Stegostoma tigrinum: one gene and its partner. The main gene of each other region encodes a partner of the protein of the gene in region 2 in a complex. Links are inferred from orthologs where the notes say so. Each region holds a gene or a part of one and is shown on either strand. Other genes may lie near its edges.

Evidence for each region. Proteins that work in one complex are often made in the same cells at the same time.
Region 1: the proteins of ptenb (region 2) and mast2 are in contact, whole or in part, in an NMR structure (PDB 2KYL), measured with the Homo sapiens proteins. The link is inferred for Stegostoma tigrinum from reciprocal best matches to the Homo sapiens genes PTEN and MAST2. Residues at the interface, in NP_000305.3 of Homo sapiens: Pro391, Phe392, Asp393, Glu394, Asp395, Gln396, His397, Thr398, Gln399, Ile400, Thr401, Lys402, Val403; in NP_055927.2 of Homo sapiens: Lys1112, Lys1113, Tyr1114, Gly1115, Phe1116, Thr1117, Leu1118, Arg1119, Ala1120, Ile1121, Arg1122, Val1123, Tyr1124, Met1136, Trp1138, Glu1141, His1170, Val1174, Ile1177, Leu1178, Leu1191.

What each region holds. Positions count from the first base shown.
Region 1 is NC_081361.1:67,542,170-67,552,431, reverse strand, and holds the start of mast2 (microtubule-associated serine/threonine-protein kinase 2), read left to right. Parts: upstream 1-6,519; 5' UTR 6,520-6,966; intron 6,967-10,262. Other genes in the region: riboflavin-binding protein, read right to left, coding at 1-53, 1,090-1,240. UniProt on the Homo sapiens protein: Appears to link the dystrophin/utrophin network with microtubule filaments via the syntrophins. Phosphorylation of DMD or UTRN may modulate their affinities for associated proteins. Functions in a multi-protein complex in spermatid maturation.
Region 2 is NC_081373.1:46,075,676-46,085,157, forward strand, and holds the start of ptenb (phosphatidylinositol 3,4,5-trisphosphate 3-phosphatase and dual-specificity protein phosphatase PTEN), read right to left. Parts: upstream 4,539-9,482; 5' UTR 3,287-4,538; coding exon 3,208-3,286; intron 1-3,207. Other genes in the region: atad1b (outer mitochondrial transmembrane helix translocase), read left to right, coding at 5,432-5,561. UniProt on the Homo sapiens protein: Dual-specificity protein phosphatase, dephosphorylating tyrosine-, serine- and threonine-phosphorylated proteins.

The DNA of each region.
Region 1 (10,262 bases), on a different chromosome or scaffold from region 2:
AATGACCGGGGACACAGCTAGTTGCTCAGTGTAGTTAGAAAAGCAACATGAAGCTGTTGAGAGGAAAACAAGTAAATAACTTGGAAATGCAAATCAGTGAGCCTCTAAAATTTGCAAATACATTGGCATACCAATGATGTTTTCTGAGAAGGTCACAAACTCCATTTGTGAATATTACTCATGATCTGCCTAATTCCTTGAAATAGGAATAACACAAAATGAAAGATCACTTGACTTCATGAGGTCGAAATCCTGGAACTCCCTCCCTAGCATTCTACCAACAATAAATAGACTGCCATGGTCCAAGAAAGCATCACATTACCTCACCATCACATTCTGAAGGGCAACTAGGGATAAACAATAAATGTTAGCCCAGCCAGCAGAGTGCACATCTCTGAATGCAAAAATAAAGAGAAATTGAGTATACTTTGATGCCTCAAACTGGTGATCTGCATATATCATTGTCTTCAGCTATGGAGATGTAAGGAAAGGCACCTCAGTAGAAGGAAGGATGTGCTATAATCTTTATGATCAGGACACAAAGACACAAGCCAAAATAGGGAAGGAATGCAGTTTGTTTATATTTAGTTGTACTGATTAATAATGTGCTGATGGGATTTAACAGATAGACAGATAGAATCACATAAGAAATGGCGCAAAGGTGGGCAGTACTGTCTAACCAAGTCTGCTCTGCCATTTGATAAAATCATAACTGAACTTATACCTCAACTGTATTTTCCTGCCCTCGTCCTATGTTCTTCTCTGATTAGAGCATTATTACTTATAGTGAACTGAACTTATCAATGGAGTATCCATGCACATTCGAGGCACAGAATTCCAAAGATTCTCAACCGTCTGAGTGAAGAAATTCTTTCTTGTCTTAATCCTAAATTGCCAACGCGTTATCCTGTTGAGCAATATGGGAGAATTGGATAGATATTCAACAAAGTCCCAGATTGACTGGCTGATTGATCTCCTTTGGTTCTTTACTTTTTAATGAACTTGATGTTTGTCTTTTCTTCCCCCCCCAAAAAAATCACATGACTGTTAAAACTATGATTTGGCTTTGGATTAGTCACCTTAACTTACATTGAGAATACAGTTTGCACTCCCTCATGCCTGGTTCAGGACCAGGCACTGCTTTGTGATTTATTCCTGATATACAGCTGTCTCCATAGCAAGGAACTGCCAGTAGGAATGTTGCAACAGAAATAGTTAGAAATGTGATCTGCATGGCCATTTGTTTTCAACCTGCAAAAGAAAGCAAAACAGATGTGGAATTGTGATCTGCAGTTCCCATTATCTCTGGAATTGTAATGTATTCTTTTTAGGTTGCTGGATACTAAATCTGGAGTCCTTTGTTTCTTTATTATGAGGTTACCCTCATCAGAAAAGCCATAGTTTCCTGAGATCTCTACAGTACATTTTTAACCAACATAAGTTTTCAATTTTGGTCCAAGATGATGAATAGAAAACCTCTTTGTAATCACGTTCAGATGCTTGATCTATTCTGTGCTTCCATGGGACCTTCCTCCCGTCAAAGCTATCATCTTGATCCAGACTTTTAACAAATGTATGCATTTATTGTGTAATAGCTAGAGAAGTGAATCAATAATAGTCAAACATACATGATTATAGTGGTTATTAAACTAACCCATTTTGTGCATTTGCTATGACTGCAAAATACTTTATTGAATGTATAAATGTTCTTATCACATCCCTTGTCTGAGGTCAGTTTCTAACATATTCTAACACCTTGGTGATTTAAATATATAAGGTATTTGTCAGCTTTTTGGAGAACAGTCATCACTTCTTTCATTTTTAATCCAGAAAGAAATGCTCAGAAAAATTCAGTACTGAATGCACTGAAACAGGAAAATCCACAAATATGCCACAAATACAGAGTAAAAATAAACAACATACAGAAGGAAAAACAAACAGCAAACTAAGGGAGAAATGCAAACACATTGAAAGCAGGAAAAACATGTAGAGAGGTATTACAGAAAAGGGAAAAAAAGAGAAAGGCTCAACAGAATGGAAGAAAAACAAATTATTGGAGACAACATGCAGAATGTTAGAGTGGAATAAAAATGTAAAGCGATAGACAGGGTGCAGAAGATAGATATTGTGAAAAGAAAGCGAGAACAAAGCTGCAACAAAATGTCAGCCAGAAACACAGCATGCAAAGACTGAGGTTGTGTGACAAAATCAGAAACAAAGAAAGTACAATGTGATAACTGACAGAGGATCACAGAGCCCGGACGACTAAAGTTACAATCAACAAATATACCAGTTATCCAGGGATTATTTCTATACATTTTAATAAGGTTGGGATTTCAAGATAAGGAAGAAGATCATCAAATCTTTTTGATGTTAAATTACATGTTTGGGGAATTATAACAGAAGTAATTTACCTAGCAAAAGAATTTTTTCTCTCCATTTTTGGTCATTTTGCTTTTTTTCCACATCCTTCTATGAGTGAGAAGGTAGGCAAAAATTCTAATTCCTACTCGTGAGACCAGAAGAAATTGGAACACCACATTCAGCTCACTGAGCGTGCTCTGCTATTATGATAAAGCCATGGCTGACCTGATTGCATCCTTAATTACATTTCCTGCTTGCCCCCAGTGATCCCAGACTCCCATGTCAATCAAAAATTTGTCTAACTCAGCCTTGAATGTAGTCAATTACCTAGCCTCCACTGCTTTGTGAAAGAGAATTCTAAATACAACTGACCCTGACATAGAAAATTTCTATTTTCCATCTTAAGTACAAATGCCATTGTTTTTAAATTGTGCTCCCAGTCTGAGATTCCCCCACAAGAATAAACATCGTCTCAGCACCACTCTGTCAACCTCCTTCTGGATCTTATATGTTTCAATAAGATCCCTCTCATTCTTACAAATTACAATAAATGTTCTACATTTGTTTGTCACTTGTATAAATAATTTAGATGAGAATTTAGGAGGAATGGTTTGTAAGTTTGTGTCTGACACCAAAATCGGTGGTTTAGTGGACAGTGAAGAGGTCATCTAGGATTACAAAGAGATCTTAATCAATTGGGTCAATGACTGCCAGATGGAGTTTAATTTGGATAACTGTGAGGTACTGCATTTTGGTCATACAAACCACGGCAGGACTTATACAATTAGTAGTAGGGCCTCGGAGAGGGTTGTAGAACAGAGAGACTTAAGGATTCAGTAATATAATTCTTTGAAGCCTATGAATGGCAGGTCTTTTCCCTAGGGTGGGGAATGTTAAGACTGGGGGAATATTTTTAAAGTGACAGGAGAAAGATTTTAAAAAAGTCAACTTTTTTTTACACAGAGTGGTTAATGTCTGAAATGAACTTTCAAAGAAAGTGGTGGATACAGGTATAGTTAAACATTTAAAAGACATTTAGATAAGTACACAAACAAGAAATGTTTGAAGGGATATGGGCCAAGGGCAGGTAGGTGGGACTAGGTGAGTTTGGGATAATGGTTGGCATGGACTGGTTGGACTGAAGAGTTTGTTTCCATGCTGTACAACTCTATGACTCCATGGACCTAAACCTACTCAGCCTTTCATTGTAAGACAAACCTTATCAGGATTCAGTCGAGTGAACCTGTCTCTGAAATACTTTCAAGTAACAAGAAGAAAAATTGCATATACTAGGTGAGGTCTTACTACTGCCCTGTATAGTTGTAGTAAGACTTGCTTAATTTTATAAAACATCCCCCTTGTAATAAAAGCCAACATTTTGCTTGCCCTCCTAACTACTTGCTATATCTGCCTGCTAACATTTTGTGAATTATGTACATGGGCACCTAAATCTCTCCACACCAGATCATTCTGCACTCAAGTATCGTACTTTTCTATTCTGTCAAAATGGACAAGCTTGTATTTTTCCCACATTATACACCAGCTGTCATATATCACATATCAATTCATATCTCTTTGCTCTTTGTGTCATCTATAAATTTGACTACACAACAGTCAGTTTATGCAAACCATTAATATAGATCATAAATAATTGAAGTTTATCTTGCAATACTCCACTTGTGGCAGCTTGCTAATACAAATGAACTATATATCCTGACTTTCATTAAGCAACCAAGTCTGACAAAGGTCTTTCGCCTTTTATAAAAGAAGTGCTGTAGGAATTAGGAATCTGTCGTGTTTGAATTACATTATCCTGCTATTCTTTGGAAAAAGCTACAAACAATACAGCAAAACCATTTGATGTTATAAACAATGCCTAGCTCCTTTTAAAGCTCCAATTATACAAAAACTAATGGACAAGAATGAAAACAATTATATATTATACATGTTAATAAACACAGTATCTCATTTTTAGAATATCAGACTGTAAATTTTAAATTACATCCATACCAAGCATAAACTGCAGTCACTTTTATTTACATCTCAGATTTCACAAATTTGAGTTACTGTCAATTCAAGAAAAAATAGGATCACTTTCTGGAGCATTTAATGATAATTCAGCAACTCCTTTAGAACTGCAATAAACTGCAATTTTATGACTGTACCTGAGATCAGAACTAATGCATTTCTATAACTTTCATTTGCAGCATTGATAGGCTATGATTATTATGGCAAACAACTTGAACAGAATATTAGAAATTCTTGCAATTTATTTTCAATAAATGTTATCAATTTTCTGTCCTCAGTTTCACATGTCTCTCTGTTTTCAACTTAAATGTCAATATCATTTTAATTATTATGAATATTTTACTGAGAATACAGAGTACACAATTCTAAAAGTAAAGATGGACAAGAGCAAAAAAATTCCACTGAATTGTGTAATAAAAGCGCCATCTACAAATCACCTAACTTTCAATCATTTTTGTATATTTTTTTCTAACTGCCTTGCTTAAATTTCAGATTACTCTTTCTTTCTAGTTACTCAGAATTAATATGCTATAGCTACATTATAACATTTATGACAAACCATTACAGATCAATTACCTGTTGTAGTGACAATAGAATTCAAAGACTCCTACTTTTCTCGTATCAGTCATTTTTATATTCTATCTGAAAAATGATCTGTGTCTGTCATTGGTTCAGTTGTGAGAATGGTGACCTTTACCCTTAACAAACTTACTAAAATCTAGTTTATCTGAAATGTTAATATAATCAGTACAAATGTTGACAAAGACTTGGAGATAAGCAATTCAGTGTATTTTCTAAATCAGCTAAACAGTTTGTCGGTAGCTGAGCTTTGGAAATGTTGCCATTTCTACTGCTGAGCAAATAACTTCCGCACGTTAAGATCAGCTCCCACCATTTCTTTCTAGACAGCTTGTAATTCCTTTTGATCTTTTCATCTTAAAACATGTGAGAATACAAGAAAATTACAGCATAATGACATCAAGTTAGTTTGATATGAACAATGCTTCGGTAACACTCCCACTTTTAAGTTAGAAAATTGTGGATTCTTTCATATTCTTGGCCATGCTCTGCTGCTGAAGAATAATTACAAAGTTTGCTGAGGTTAAGGAAAACATTAACTGTACTTAAGAAACTTGTCACTGTGGCTTCACCGTACCAGAAGGCTGTAAGAGTGCATGATTGTGTGATGTTGCATCACTTTCTGTAAGCATGTACATTGTCTCATTAGCATACTATCATCAGAATTAAGCCCTAATGCTACAACTCCCCAACTTTCTGATTTTACCTTTTGTAATCGATCTTGTCACAGCCTCTGATTTTAAACTCTTTTTTTTTACAGGGACAACCACTTTAATGGCAGGTTCACCTGTTGATCTGATCGATTCAAGTCCTCTGTCTGGTGTGTCAGACTCTGCTGGCCAGGAAGAGAGTTGACAGATGGCTCCAATTTAACAATCAAGCCGCCTTTTCTCAAATGTATGTAAACATAGAGATAACAAGGTGTAGAGCTGGATGAACACGGCAGGCCAAGCAGCATCTTAGGAGCAGGAAAGCTGACATTTCAGGCCTAGACCCTTCTTCAGAAATGGGGGAGGGGAAGGGGGCGCTGAAACAAATAGGAAGACATGGAGAGGCGAATAGAAGATGGATAGAGGAGAAGTTAGGTGGAGAGGAGTCAGACCGGTCAAAGAGGTGGGGATGGAGCCAGTAAAGGTAAGTGTCGGTGGGGAGGTAGCACCTCATATTCCGCTTGGGAACCCTGCAGCCCAATGGTATCAATGTGGACTTCACAAGCTTCAAAATCTCTCCTCCCCCCCATCGCATCCCAAAACCAGCTCAGCTCGTCCCTGCTTCCCTAACCTGTCCTTCCTTCCACCTCAAGCCCCACCCCCATCTCCTACCTACTAACCTCATCCCACCCCCTTGACCTGTCTGTCCTCTGTGGACTGACCTATCTCCTTCCTACCTCCCCACCTACACTCACCTTTATTGGCTCCATCCCCACCTCTTTGACCTGTGTGTCTCCTCTCCACCTATCTTCTCCTCTATCCTTCTTCTATCTGCCTCCCCCTCCCTATTTATTTCAAAACCCTCTTCCCCTCCCCCATTTCTGAAGAAGGGTCTTGGCCCGAAACATCAGCTTTCCTGCTTCTCTGATGCTGCTTGTCCTGCTGTGTTCATCCAGCTGTACAACTTGTTACCAAAGAAAGATGCAGTAGTTTTTGTCAAGGTCTGCCCTGAACAGCTCCATGATGCCGGACTCTGTGGTCTATAGGCTGGTCCCGGGGATGTACACTGAGAGAAACATTGACCACGCCTGGAGGATCATCAACTCACTGACTTTCTTTCGTCTGCCTGAAACTTGTTGGTCTTCTCGAGTCAAGAGTTGACATTGACTGAGTGTTGCAGATTGGTACATTTCAAGGTCCAGGGCTACATGCTGACGGATACACTAAAGCTTTGGGCAGATACCACCAAGATGCACTGGGGAAAGATTACCATTTAAGGTCTTCCTGCCGAAGTATAACGGTCGTCCGATTAGTTGTCAGACCCTCTCATTGCCTCAGAATGAACGTAAGTAGTATCCTGCACAAAAAGAAAATGTGTTTACAACTGTAAGGTAGCGCTGATAAATGTCAAAATTCCACTTTTATTTGTTTTTTTTCTCTGCAAAGACAGAACTGGTTTAGAATCTTTGTATGTACTTTTAGATGACTTTTTATGAATAAAGTATGTTTTTAAAATAAAAGAAGTCTGGTCATGTTGATGAAGGCAACATTTGACTGTTGATGACTTCTTTGTGTAGAAGACTGCTTGTGTGTCGAAATGAGCGCACATCTGTTCTCATGAACCATTCCATTTTCAGTTTCAGTGAGGTAGGACAGTGGATGTGGTGTCTGTTTCACCACTTGTTAACAAGTTTGGTCTCAAATCCAAACTGGCTGTCCTGTTTAGAGGTCTGGTTGGTTCAGTGCTTTGTGATATCTATTGTTGTTCCACATCTGACTAGAGAAGTATTCATCTTCTTTCTCCATCACATTTTTCAAGCACAATCTTGTTTATGCAGCGTGAGTATATGTGAAAGAGTATGGAGTGAGTTCTCAGTCCTCTTCCCATGAGGAATTCATATGGAACTAAATCATTTTAGGACTAAGTGAAAGAAAGATTGCTCAGAAGTGAAACTTGAATGTTATTGTTTTTCTTAAGCCATACTTTAGCTATCACATTTGTAAAGGCCTCCCACTTGCCGGAGGTCCCTTTGTCTGCAAACTAACCACTCCAATCAAGCCCTGAAAGCTGCTGTCTAATTCCGTCAAAATTTGCCTTGTCCCAATTTCAGACTTGAACTGTGGACCAGTTTTGTCCCTCTCCAAAACTATTTTAAAATTAATAGAACTATGGTCACTGGTTCCAAAGTGCTCCCTTACTGTCACCTTAAGTTACTTGTCCTGCCCTATTTCCCAAGAGTAGTTCGACTTTTTCCCCTTTCTGAGTAGGACCCTCTATATACTGCTTGAGGAAACTTTCCTGAACACACTTAACAAATTCCACCCCATCTGAGCCCATAACGCTATGGCAGTCCAATCTATGTAAGGAAAATCAAAATTCCCCACTATGACAACCCTGTTGCTCCTGTAAATCTCCCCAGTCTCCCTACTTATTTGTTCGTCTAATTCCCATTGACTATTTGGAGGCCTCCAGTATAGCCCCAATAATGTCACAATTCCCTTCTTATTTATTAGGTCCACCAACAAAGGCTCTCTGGATGATCCCTCAGTTATTTTATCTCTGACTGCTGCTGTGACACTGTCCTTAAGCAAAAATGCAATTCCCCCTCCCTTCTTTCCTCTACTTCTGTCCTGCCTAAAGCACCTGCACCCTAGCACATTAAGTTGCCAGTCCTGTCCCTCCCTTAGCCATGTTTCTGAAATGGCTGTAATATCCTAACCCCACACACATATTCATGCCCTGAGTTAATCAGCCTTACGTGTCAGCCCTCTTGCATTGAAATAGGTGCAATTTAACCCAACAGGCATTCCTTGCTCCCTGTTCTGTCCTAGTCTGACCTGTCTCTTTAACTTGCCATTTCTGATGACTGAACCTCCTTCCAGCCTCAAACTTGCATCCCTGCTGTTGAGAATTTCAACACCAGAGGGGGAGTGGGCCGAGAAATAGCAATTGGAGTTCAATGGTGTGTGGGCAGCAATAAGCAGTTTGCTGAGATATATCCATACAAAGGAACAATTAGCAATTAACTGAAGCAGCAGCAGTTATTTCTGTTGAACAAGAAGGTCATGCCACATGATCTCTAGAATGCAGATCATTAGCATCACCCAATACAGCCTGCAGTTACTTCGGGTTCAGAGATCATCTGTATGGCTTCAGATAGTCAGGCATGCATTAATCATAAGGGAAGGGTTGGGTACTATGAGCAGATGGTGGGGACACATAACTCGTGAAGAATATGCAGAAGTGGAAGTCCTGTTGAAATGACAGGACTCAGCACCTTGCAAGAAAATATATCCTGTTTTTGCAGTAAAGGATTAACATAGTTTATTTTATACAATGTTGCATGTAACCATTGTGAGGCAAAAATATGTTGTTTTGAGTTGTAAATGGCAAGGTGTCTTGCAGCTTGACTCTAAGGCCTCTTCCACACAGTATTGGTACAAGCTTGAATAAAGACCACCTTGGTACGACTACACAGACTGAAGACTCGATTTGTCCTATCTCTCCAACATTGATCGACTTAAAACTTCAGGTTGAACCACAATTTGCTGAATGAAATTGACAATTAGCTGTGAGACTTCACATTCACTGTTGATTATTACTTCTGCTTCCTGGAGGTGTTGTAGCGCAACTTATTGCCTCATGCCAGGTTCTGTCTGTATGGATCTGTGGATCAGCACACCGTCCATGTGCTATCCAGTCCTTCAAGGATCTTGACACTGTCCTCTGAGATTTTTGGTCCTAATGTAATGCTGTTTTTTAATCTTTTGAAACAAAATTTTGCAAAGTAATGAGGAATGTGAGCAACTTAGATTCTTCATCTTGGGGCACATTTTTTGCATGTGTTTCATGAACGTTGGATTCTTCCCCAATTCTTTTCAAGGTCATGTCTGCAGACTACTTAGAATGAAATTGGTGTTCAACTGTTTTACTCAGCTGTGTAAGAGCTACACAGATTCTGATAGATCCATTGGGTTTTAGTATTAGAATCATCTCCAAGCACAAGCTTGATGTTTCCATCATGGGTGGAATAAACCACTGAACCAATTTCCTTCTTTAACTTTGCAAGAGTGGATGAGGAATTTTTCTACAAGTAAACAGAAAGACTGGCTTCATTTCAGGATGTAGCATGATGTGGCTTCCTGTCATCAACCATCATAGTCTTATGAACAGCTGTGGAAATACAGCTCGGAAGTTTCAACTCAAATTCTCAGCTTTTCAGTTTGTCAAATCTGCAAATTAGACAAAAGCTGATAAAAGCATTCCTTAAGAGTGAGCAGCTCAGCAACGATGTTGTGGGTATCACAGACATGTGGCTGCATGGGGATCAATGCTGTGAACTAAAAGACCAAGGATACGTGACCTATTGAAAGGACAGGCAAATGGGTAGAAGAGGCAGGCTTGTCTTGTTAGTAAGAAGTGAAATTAACTTGATAGCTAGAAATGATGTTGTGTCAGAATGTGTAGCATCTATGTGGGTAAAACTGAGGAACCAGAAAGGGGGAAAAAAAGCCTGAATGAAGTTTGTGTACAGGCCTCCTCACAGTAGTCAGGATGTGAGGAAGAAACTGAATCAGGAGATAGAAAATACATGGAAGAAAGGCACTATTACAATAATCATAGGGGATTTCAATATTCAG
Region 2 (9,482 bases):
CTGATTAAGCAAAGAAATCATACCGTAGAACTTCAGATAATTTGTCAATTGCTGTAACATGCACAAGCTACAAAGCATACCAAATGTTAAGTTCACATATATACAAACTTTCTTCCGAAACGATAACACATGCTCGAGTTGAGTTACATTTATAGACTCATAACTTTATCTCCTACTTCTGGCTTTCTCTCAACGTCTTGACATTTTTCATTGCCAATGTCTCAATTTTGCATTGCCTTATGTAAATGCCAATAAAATTGCTTGTAATCATGGACTCTCTGAAAATTACACATTACACTATAGAAACAGACGTTCAAATGCTGAATTACCATAGATGCTGTGACACATCCAAAAAGTGGTAATACAGCATCTCAATCTGCTTCATATACAATTAATCACTTCCTACAATGTAACAAAATGCAGTGACTTTTGTGGAAAATGATTGCCGTTTAGCTATATAACAAGATCTCAGTAACAGCGATGGATAAATGAACAATTAACTTTCTTAGTATCGGCACTGTTCCAAGATTATTAGTCAGTAAACTTGGTGTAAAGGAGAGGGGTTTGGGCATCAGAATTATGCACATAGTATTTAGTGTTTCATTCAAAGGATAAGACCTCCAACAATGCAGTTCTCACTTTGAGTACAGTGAAATGTCAACTTACGATTTTGTATACCGACCCTACAGTAGAACTTCAATCTATAAACAATCTGCCTCAGAAGCAAGACTGATAGCTACAGAGCCAGAATGTCTCAAAACTGATTAATCAGAACTGAATAATATATTCTACACCTTGCACTTACATATGGCCTTTAACAAAATAAAATATCCCATATCACTTTTACCACTAGCGCACAGCAAGTCTTATTTCTCATCTGACCAGTGTTAGAATGTCCTCGACAGATGACAACCAACAATGGCTGAATTGCATGATTTAAGTGAAACCCATTGCACCATGTAATCTAAGCTCTCACAGCAAAAATTTTAAGCACATTAATGTCTCCCAAAATGGGTATAATATGGATTTCAACTTATTAATGTATGCAATACAAAGTAAATATTGCAAATGTGATTTAACAGTAACTACTGCACTGCTGTTTCCTTTCAATATTACTCATTCAAGGTTACCAGCTTTTATTTCATTTTTGTCCCGATTCTACATCCCCACTCATTCCAAACATGAAGGCACAAAACCAAAATTACATTTGATTCAAAACCAAAAAACCTGTAATATTTGAAATATGAGCTTTAAAATTTCACCGAATCTCAAATTAAGGGTCAACAATAAAATGTATAAAATGTGTGCGCTTTGCAAGAGAACTGGCTGGGGCAGGTAAGATGCGTCACAAAGCACTGAACAAATATGCAGAATTTTCTTTTAATTAAGCCACCTATCCTCTATACTCAAATCTGAATTAAGCATACATTAATGTCTTTGTTTTGTTTCGTTTTTCTGAGTCAAGTTTCAAAATACTTCCCAAATGTTAGGTTTTCAACTTATATTTATAAACCAGCATGTAATAAAGCTGAATCATAAATATACTGCATGAAACTCAAACAACTTGTAAAGTTCATCACATATAAAGCAGCCATACTGTATTCAAGCAGCACTGAGTGACTAACATCATGCATTTTTAAAATATTCTCCCATCCAGTAGATCTGAGACACATAGGTTTCTTTCAAGCTCTGTCATAATTAACCTAAAGCATTAACAGTCAAGTACTAATGAATATCATTCCTGAACGCTATGTTGCTATTATTTACAAAATAGTATTACCCTAGTGGCTCTGCCTCAAGATATTCAACCAAAGTTATGCAAATATCTAGCATATATATACTGCAAAGCTTTACACCTGAGCAAAGGAAACTGTGAAAATAGGCAAAATTGATTAACCAAAACGTCAACACAAACGTACCAACCAGTGGAAAAAAAATTCAAGTTATATCAACACACAAATTGGATTCTGGATCGTGAATGAATAATTCCTGCCTCATCCAAAGACAGTACAATCCAATTTAGCCTAATGCGCATAATGGGCATTCAAGTCTACTGAGTTGCAAGTCACATTCCTCAAACAGAAGTTTCAGTACTTTTTTCCCTTTAAATATCAAACCATTTCACAAAATACAAAACTGCAGTTTATTCTAATCTAGTGAAAATTTAGACGCTATTTCAAGTCGTAGCAGTGCACAAGATCATTGCGTCTTGTAATTTAAACTGATGCACCATGACATCACCACCATAAACTGCTTGTTACAGTATTCCTATTGCATGTTACTGTATTCCTTCCTTCTATTAAAACTGCTAAACTAGAAGGCCAGCGGTATTATAGCAAGATCAGCAAAATTACGAGACACTAGATCCATTCAAGTCAAGCAAAGACAACTTCAAATGACTCCTAAAATCATTGTCAGTGACGATATATGTATCAAAGGCAAAATGCTACGAGCTCTCAACTGCACCTACAGAGTCTACTGCTCAAGTCAGGGACATCTGCTTCACTGTGCACAAAGTAAAAATTAAACTCCTGAACACTAGTGATTTACAATAGCAGCAACGTGAATTAACGATACTCATCCATGCAAAATGATTATTTTTATTATCGCAAGCTCGTGCAAAACTACTGAACGTAAAACGTACACTTTAAAATTGTTCAACAGATATTAAACATTTTAGCCAAAGACAAAATTAACTTCATCCATTCTAATCTAGGCCAAGACCTAACGCACTCTGTGCAGTACGTATGCCCCCCTGCAGAGGCTACGCATGGCAGCTCTAGATCTGCACAATAGGTATTTCAGTACCACAAAGCAATGTATATAATGACATTACACATTCAACTTATAATGCAAGGCCTGTACACCTAATTACTCATATTTTAAAGAAAAACAAACAAAAAGGAACTCACCCAATATTTTAATACAGTCACTTGCAAGTTACTCAATTTAACTGTACTCCAGCACTGAATAGGACCAATTTGTTAAAATTGTGTAATTTCCCTCAGTTTCTGCAAGAGTGACGGCAGGGTCTCCCCTCCCTTATCTAATACGAAGTAAAGGGAGTGCATCGATTTTTTTTTGCACGTCTCCATTCAAACCTTGATTCAGTAAGGCAAGAATAAAGACGCAATATTTGAAACCACCTTCCTCAACAAACCCCAACCTCCCACCCAAACCCCTCCTTATGAAAAGAAAAATGGATACATGTCAAGTCCAAGTCGAATCCGTCTTCCTGGTATCTTCTCTTGTTCCTGCTGACAAGTTCTTTGATTCTCGAAGCCATGCCTGGTTGAAGGAAGAGGAGGTGGTGGAGGTGGAGGATGTGGAAATGGGTTTGTTGGCACCTTCTGGATTGCTGTCACACAGGGGCCTAACACCCAGCTCCACAACATACACACGCACTCTCTCTCTCTCCCAATCTGCCTCTCGCCTTTCCCCCCCGGCTCCGTTAATATCCTCCGCAGGAGTAAGGGAGGTTGGGGGGTGGTGGATTTGCTCCGGTTTCTTCAGATGACCATCAAAGGAGGAGGAAAACGGGGGGTGGGGGTGGGAGAGAGGGGGTAAAAAGTAAAACCCTTTAGCGGGAAGAGGAATTGGTGGGGCAACGGGGGAAGACGGTGGCCACATTCACCGCCTCTTGCTACGATTTTTCCTCCACGATCGCCTCCACCGCCGCCGCCGCCGTTACCGTCGGTCGGGGGGTGGGGGGAAAGGGGGGGGCTGATAGGCAGGGAAATGGAGGGAGGAAAAAATCTCAATGCCTTCGCTTAAAAGAAAGGGATCTTTTTTTAAAAAATCCAAAGAAGTCGATTCCTTTACCCCTCCGCTGTCAATAAATTACGCGTTTTAAAAAATACATCCGTGGCTGCTCTCCTTGCGCTCCGTCAGAAATAATAATCCACACACTCCGGGATCCTGATCCACTCCGTGTTAAAAAATTATAAGCATTATTTTTCAGAAAAAAAGTCAGCAGGAAGCCGAGCTTCCCCTCCAGCACACGCACACTTGCTCTTCTTTCTTTTTTTCCTCTTTCTTTCCTTCCTTTTTCTTTCTCGGCCGATCGCTCTGGCCCCGGCCCTGGCCACGGCTCCAGCTCCCGTCCCGGCCACAGCACCGACTCCAGCTTCTTCCCCCCCCCTCCCCCACCAAGGCTGCTGCTGGGGCCACCGCCGGACTCTCAAACTTCCATGATGGCTTCCCAGGGAAAAAAAGCGCAATGGCCCCGAGTGGGAATGAGAGAGAGAGAGAGAGACCGAGAGAGAGAGAGAGAGAAGGGGGAGGGGGGAGAGGAGGAGGAGAGAGAGCGTGTAACACTCCGCCCTTTGGATATAGTCCCCGCTTTCACTCTTCTCCCCGCTCACCAATTAAATCTCCTCAGTCGCCCTTCCAAGCACTGCCCTGGGATTGACTTGTACCCTTTTCCAGGCCAGCCGTTGGATTTCGGGACCGGCTGTTGTGTCAGGGTTGAGAGTATGTAGTGGCATGTTGGGGGAGGGGGGTGTAGGTTCGAATACGAAGTGAATTAAATCAGTATTACAACATTGGTGCTGGCGATCTCGCAGCGGCGTGAGAAGGACGTGCTGGCACTATTTGCGCAGTCACGTGTCCGCTGCGATGATTTTTTTTTCTCTCTCCTGTCGCTCCTGAACAGTGGTGGAGGAGGGCGGGGGGTGGTACGGCTCCCAGGGGAAGGGGGCGTGGCCAGTAGAGCGCGAGTTGCGGCCGTTGAACGGCCGAGTCTCCAGGTTACTTACCCCGAAGGCGAACAGCGGAAGCGCCCCCTTCTCTACCCTCACTCCCATTGACCGAGTACAGCCTCACGGGTCCCCGCTACCAAAAATGCCCGGGCTATCCGGGGAGAAAAGAACCAGATCGTGCAGAACGTACGGGGAGGATTTGGCTGGAACCCGACGCTCATTGATCTGTTTATTCATGGAATGATGAACCAAGTGACTTGGAGGGTTTTTTCCGGGCTGTGTGGAGGGGGAAAGTCTCTCTCTCTTTCGCTCTCTGTCTTTCGCCATCTTGGTAAAGGAGCAACCTGCTTGCGCATGTGTTACAAACTCTCGCTCTCCGCCTTTCGGGCCGGTTTTATCCATTGGATTTTGATCAACTGATATCGTTGCGTGGAATCCATTACTGAGGAATACGGTCGTTTCCCCCACCCCGTGCTGCCCATACTTTGGGAATCGCTGTCTCTCTGGGATTTCCGGTGACAGTGCACCCTGATGTTGAGCCTTAGAGCACTTTGGGACTGTCTTGGACTGAGCTTGGAAGTAAAACCACAGTTTCTGAACGAGATGGCAACTGTGCGGGAATAGTCTTTTCCATACCGCTGCCTTGGCAATTACAGGTGGTGTCTCAGACACTTCTGAAATCCTCACTGTTTATTCCAATTATTTTATGGATCTTATTCGTAGATTTGTGTATGCATGTATGTTGGTTATCGATAGAATATTGTAATTTGGGAGCTCGTGGGACATCGGGCTGTTTCCCCGCCGCAGATATGTGGAGTCAAGACATTAAGGGGAAATACCTATATCTTTCATCACATGAAGGTTGGAGATAGTGTTCTATTATGACTGACAAAGTACTTTTGAAATATTAGACAATGTAGTCTACCATTAAGTATTTTAATAAATATTAATTGAAGACTAAGATGTATAAGCCAAATTTGATATTTGACAATAAACTAGAAATAGCTTGTACAACGGTATGGATGATTTTAATTAATGTCTACTGTCTTTGTGGACAAATTATTTTAGTTCAGATCAGCTTTGTTAAGTTGCAATTGTATAGTTTTATTTAAATTTTATGTAATAGTCGTTGTGGTTGAAAAGAAGGGAGCAGACAATATATAATCAATGGCTTTGTTTTTGTAACGTGCACGTTCATTGGAGTGTAAATCTGAGCAGAAGTATCCTTCACAATCTAGCGAGTGTCAATCATTGATAATGGGAACTGCAGATGCTGGAGAATTCCAAGATAATAAAATGTGAGGCTGGATGAACACAGCAGGCCAAGCAGCATCTCAGGAGCACAATCATTGATGTTGGATATTCTAATTCTTCACAAACCAATGGAATATCTTTCTATAGCTAGGGATGTGATACCAGTTTTTCTTTTGCCAAATGCAGCAGACATCTTTCTTGAGGAGGAAGAGAGACATTCATTTTAAATGAATTAATGATTTTATAAACATTCTGAACAATTGATTGGAGTGTGGTCTGACCTAGGATTTATGATTTATGCAAATTAATATTGTCTATATTAGTGTTTGGATTTTGGACTAGTTGTGCGCAGATCTTGGTCTGTTATAAGGGGTTTAATAATTATCTTGTCAGTTTTCTGAAGTCATTTTCTCTTCACATGGAGTCTTCAGTGTATTTACCATGTTTTCCTAGCTTCTATCAGTTTCGAAGAAGGTCTGCGGACTCAAAATGTTAATTTCGCTGTCTGTCTACAGATAATACCAGACAAGCTGTGTTTCTCCAGAAATTTCTGTTTGTTTCAGATTTCCAGCAACTGCAGTTCTGTTTTACTTCTGGAGCCATGATTTTTTTTCGACCAGTTATGACAGAGAGCAGCCTCTTGGAGTGCTAATGAGCATTTGTTTCTATTGTGAGAATTTTAGGATTGGACACAGTAAACGTTGAAAGGCTTTGGCTTTGACTCAGAAGAATCAAGATTCTTTTTTCCCCCTAGCTTGGAGAAAATCTATGAATTGTAAACCTTTTGGTTTTAGTTGACAGAAGTCCTAGTTGAAGTTAGATGTGTGAACAGTCTTTCCTGGAGTAAGGAGATAATTCAGAAGAGTTAGGAAGTAGATTATCTCAGTGTCAGGGTTTTAGTTTGAAATTCCATATTTAAAATATTTAATTAGAAGCATGAAGGGTTTATTTGAAGCTGAAAACTAGGCTCAGATGTGTTATTAATCAAGGGAGAGGTAATACAATTCACAAAACCAGGAATTGGGGGGAAAAAAACAGTTAATTTAAACCTTTAGATGTGAGAGAGAGAGAAAGAAACCTTAGGTGTCTGGATAAATGGGCTTGTATTTTTACTGTTTCAATCTTTTAAAATTGTGTTATGTGTAAATAGCTTAGAATCATACAGTACAGAGCTTAGTTTTTTTCTATTTTATTTTAGCTTCATTTCTGTTGCATAATGAACTTCTGTTTTATTGTTAAAATAAATTCTGCAGTGTTTCCTGCTTGTGTTTCAATGAAAGGTGACCATGTTAATTTAAAGAAAAATGTATGATCTTTCAAATCAGGTTTCAACCTGGGATCTGATTTATCCAGTAGCAATATTAACTGGTATAATGGCAATGCATTGAGAAACTGTTTAAGCAAGATGATAAACTTTTCCACACCTGTAGTTGCAAGTTAAGTTAATTTAAATTCTGGTGCCATTTTACCGAATGCTTTAACTATGAAATGATGGAAACTTCACTGTGGAGTGAAAATCAGTCAAGTTTTGGTTCAATGACTTTTGTGTTCTGATGCTCAGATAAAGTTAACCTAAGCAAATTCCTTTTTTTAATTTGTCATGTTGTAATAAGATCTCTCCCTGGTTAAATCTGAATACAGCTGTCTTGTATGGCTCCCATTTCTTTCAACCATGACACTGCTTTTGATCCTCACTGAAAACTGTCCAGCTGCAAACACACACAAAAGCCACAGTTTCTTTGGACTTCTGACCACACTCGTCCGTTCACTAAGTCTCAACCTTAACCATTCAGTATCATCTCTTCGTCCATGCACGTCACACTCAACAACCCCTTGCCATCAATTTGGCGAATACCAAAGCTTTACGTCCTCTGCTGTAGTACTTTTTTGAAAACTCACCTTCCAAAACGCTACAAAAATCCAGGACCTATTTGTTATCCCACATCTGGCTTCCTAAATTTAATACTACCTGCAAACTGTGCTCAGTACTTTTCCACGCATGGGGCGCTAGTGGACCCCAAATGTCCTTCCGTACTGTGCATTTTACAGTGATCCAAGTCCATTTTATTTCTCATGTCCCTTTGCTCCCAAAGCCCATCTATTATACTTCCACATTGTAAACCTTAGATGACCCACAAGTACATTATTCTCCATTGCCACTTGCAAGAAACAAACCCACAATCTCCTTCCGTTGTCTTTTTTAATGTTCACTTGTGGGATGTGGAAGTCACTCGTTGGGCCAGCGTTTCTTGCCTAGCACTAGTTGCCCTTAAGAAGGTAGGGGTGAGCTGCTTTCCTGAACCACTCTACTCCTTGAAGTTTAGGTACCCCTGCAGTGACATTAGGAAAGGGATTTCAAAGATTTGGAACCAGTAACTGTGAAGCAATGGCAAAATATTTCTGAGTCCAAATGATATGCTTGGAGGTGAACTTGCAGGTGGTGATGTTTCCATGCATCTGCTGCCCTTGTCCTTCTGGATAATAGTGGTGTGAATTTGGAAGGTGTTGTCAGGGAATCATTGGTAAGTTGCCACAAATTCTCTTGTAGATCTTATGCACTGCTGCTATTGTGTTAGTGGCAAAGGAAGCGAATATTGAAAATAGTGGTTAGGATGCCAATCAAGCTGACTGTTTTGTCCTGCTGATGTCAGCTTCTTAAGTTTTGATGGCACTGCACTTGTTCAGGTAAATGAAGCTATTTCCACTCTACTCCTGACTTGTGCTTCATAGATGACAGATAAGCATTGAGTTGACAGGAAGTGAGTTAACCTTGTAGAATTCCGAGTCTTTGACCTGCAGCTGTCACCAGAGTACTTATATGGCTGGCCCAGTTCAGATTCTGGTTAATGGTAACCTCAAGATGTTAATAATGAGGAGGAATTCGGTGACCAGAATGTCATTGAATGTAGTGAGGTAATGGTTCAATTCTGTTGTTGGAGCTGGTCATTGCTTGTGTGACATGAAAGTTAATTGCCTCTTAGCCCAAGCCTGAATGTTCTCCAAGTCTTCTTCTTCCAGTTTGATAGGTGTTTAAAAGTCCCCATTGACACAACATCCGGTAAATCGGTTTTACTTGTGATTTACAGCTAGCTCCCAAAAAATTAGCATTTCCGACGTGTTCTGTCAGTGAATAGAACTATTCCCAGGATTCTAGTTGCTCCTGGTCGACTTAGCTGTTTTATTTTCTTTCAACATGAGTTTGTTCAGATATGTTATGATACATCTCCGTGGCAGACAGGACTTGAACCTGGACCTTTCAAATCCAGAGGTACTGCTGCAAGATCGCTTTAATTCAGCTGCTAATATGCCAGCAAAAAGTAATTTAATTCCTCCCTTTCAAAATTGTCTTTTGGCTCATAAACTCACCACCTTGCTCTTGACTGGATAGTCAACATTGGGAATCATCAATATGGGAGAAGACTCAAACACCATGTCTCTAATGATTTTGAAGAAAATAGTCATTGGATCTTTGACACACTTTGATATTCCATTAGGTTTGAAATATATTAATGGTAAAATAAGGTTAAT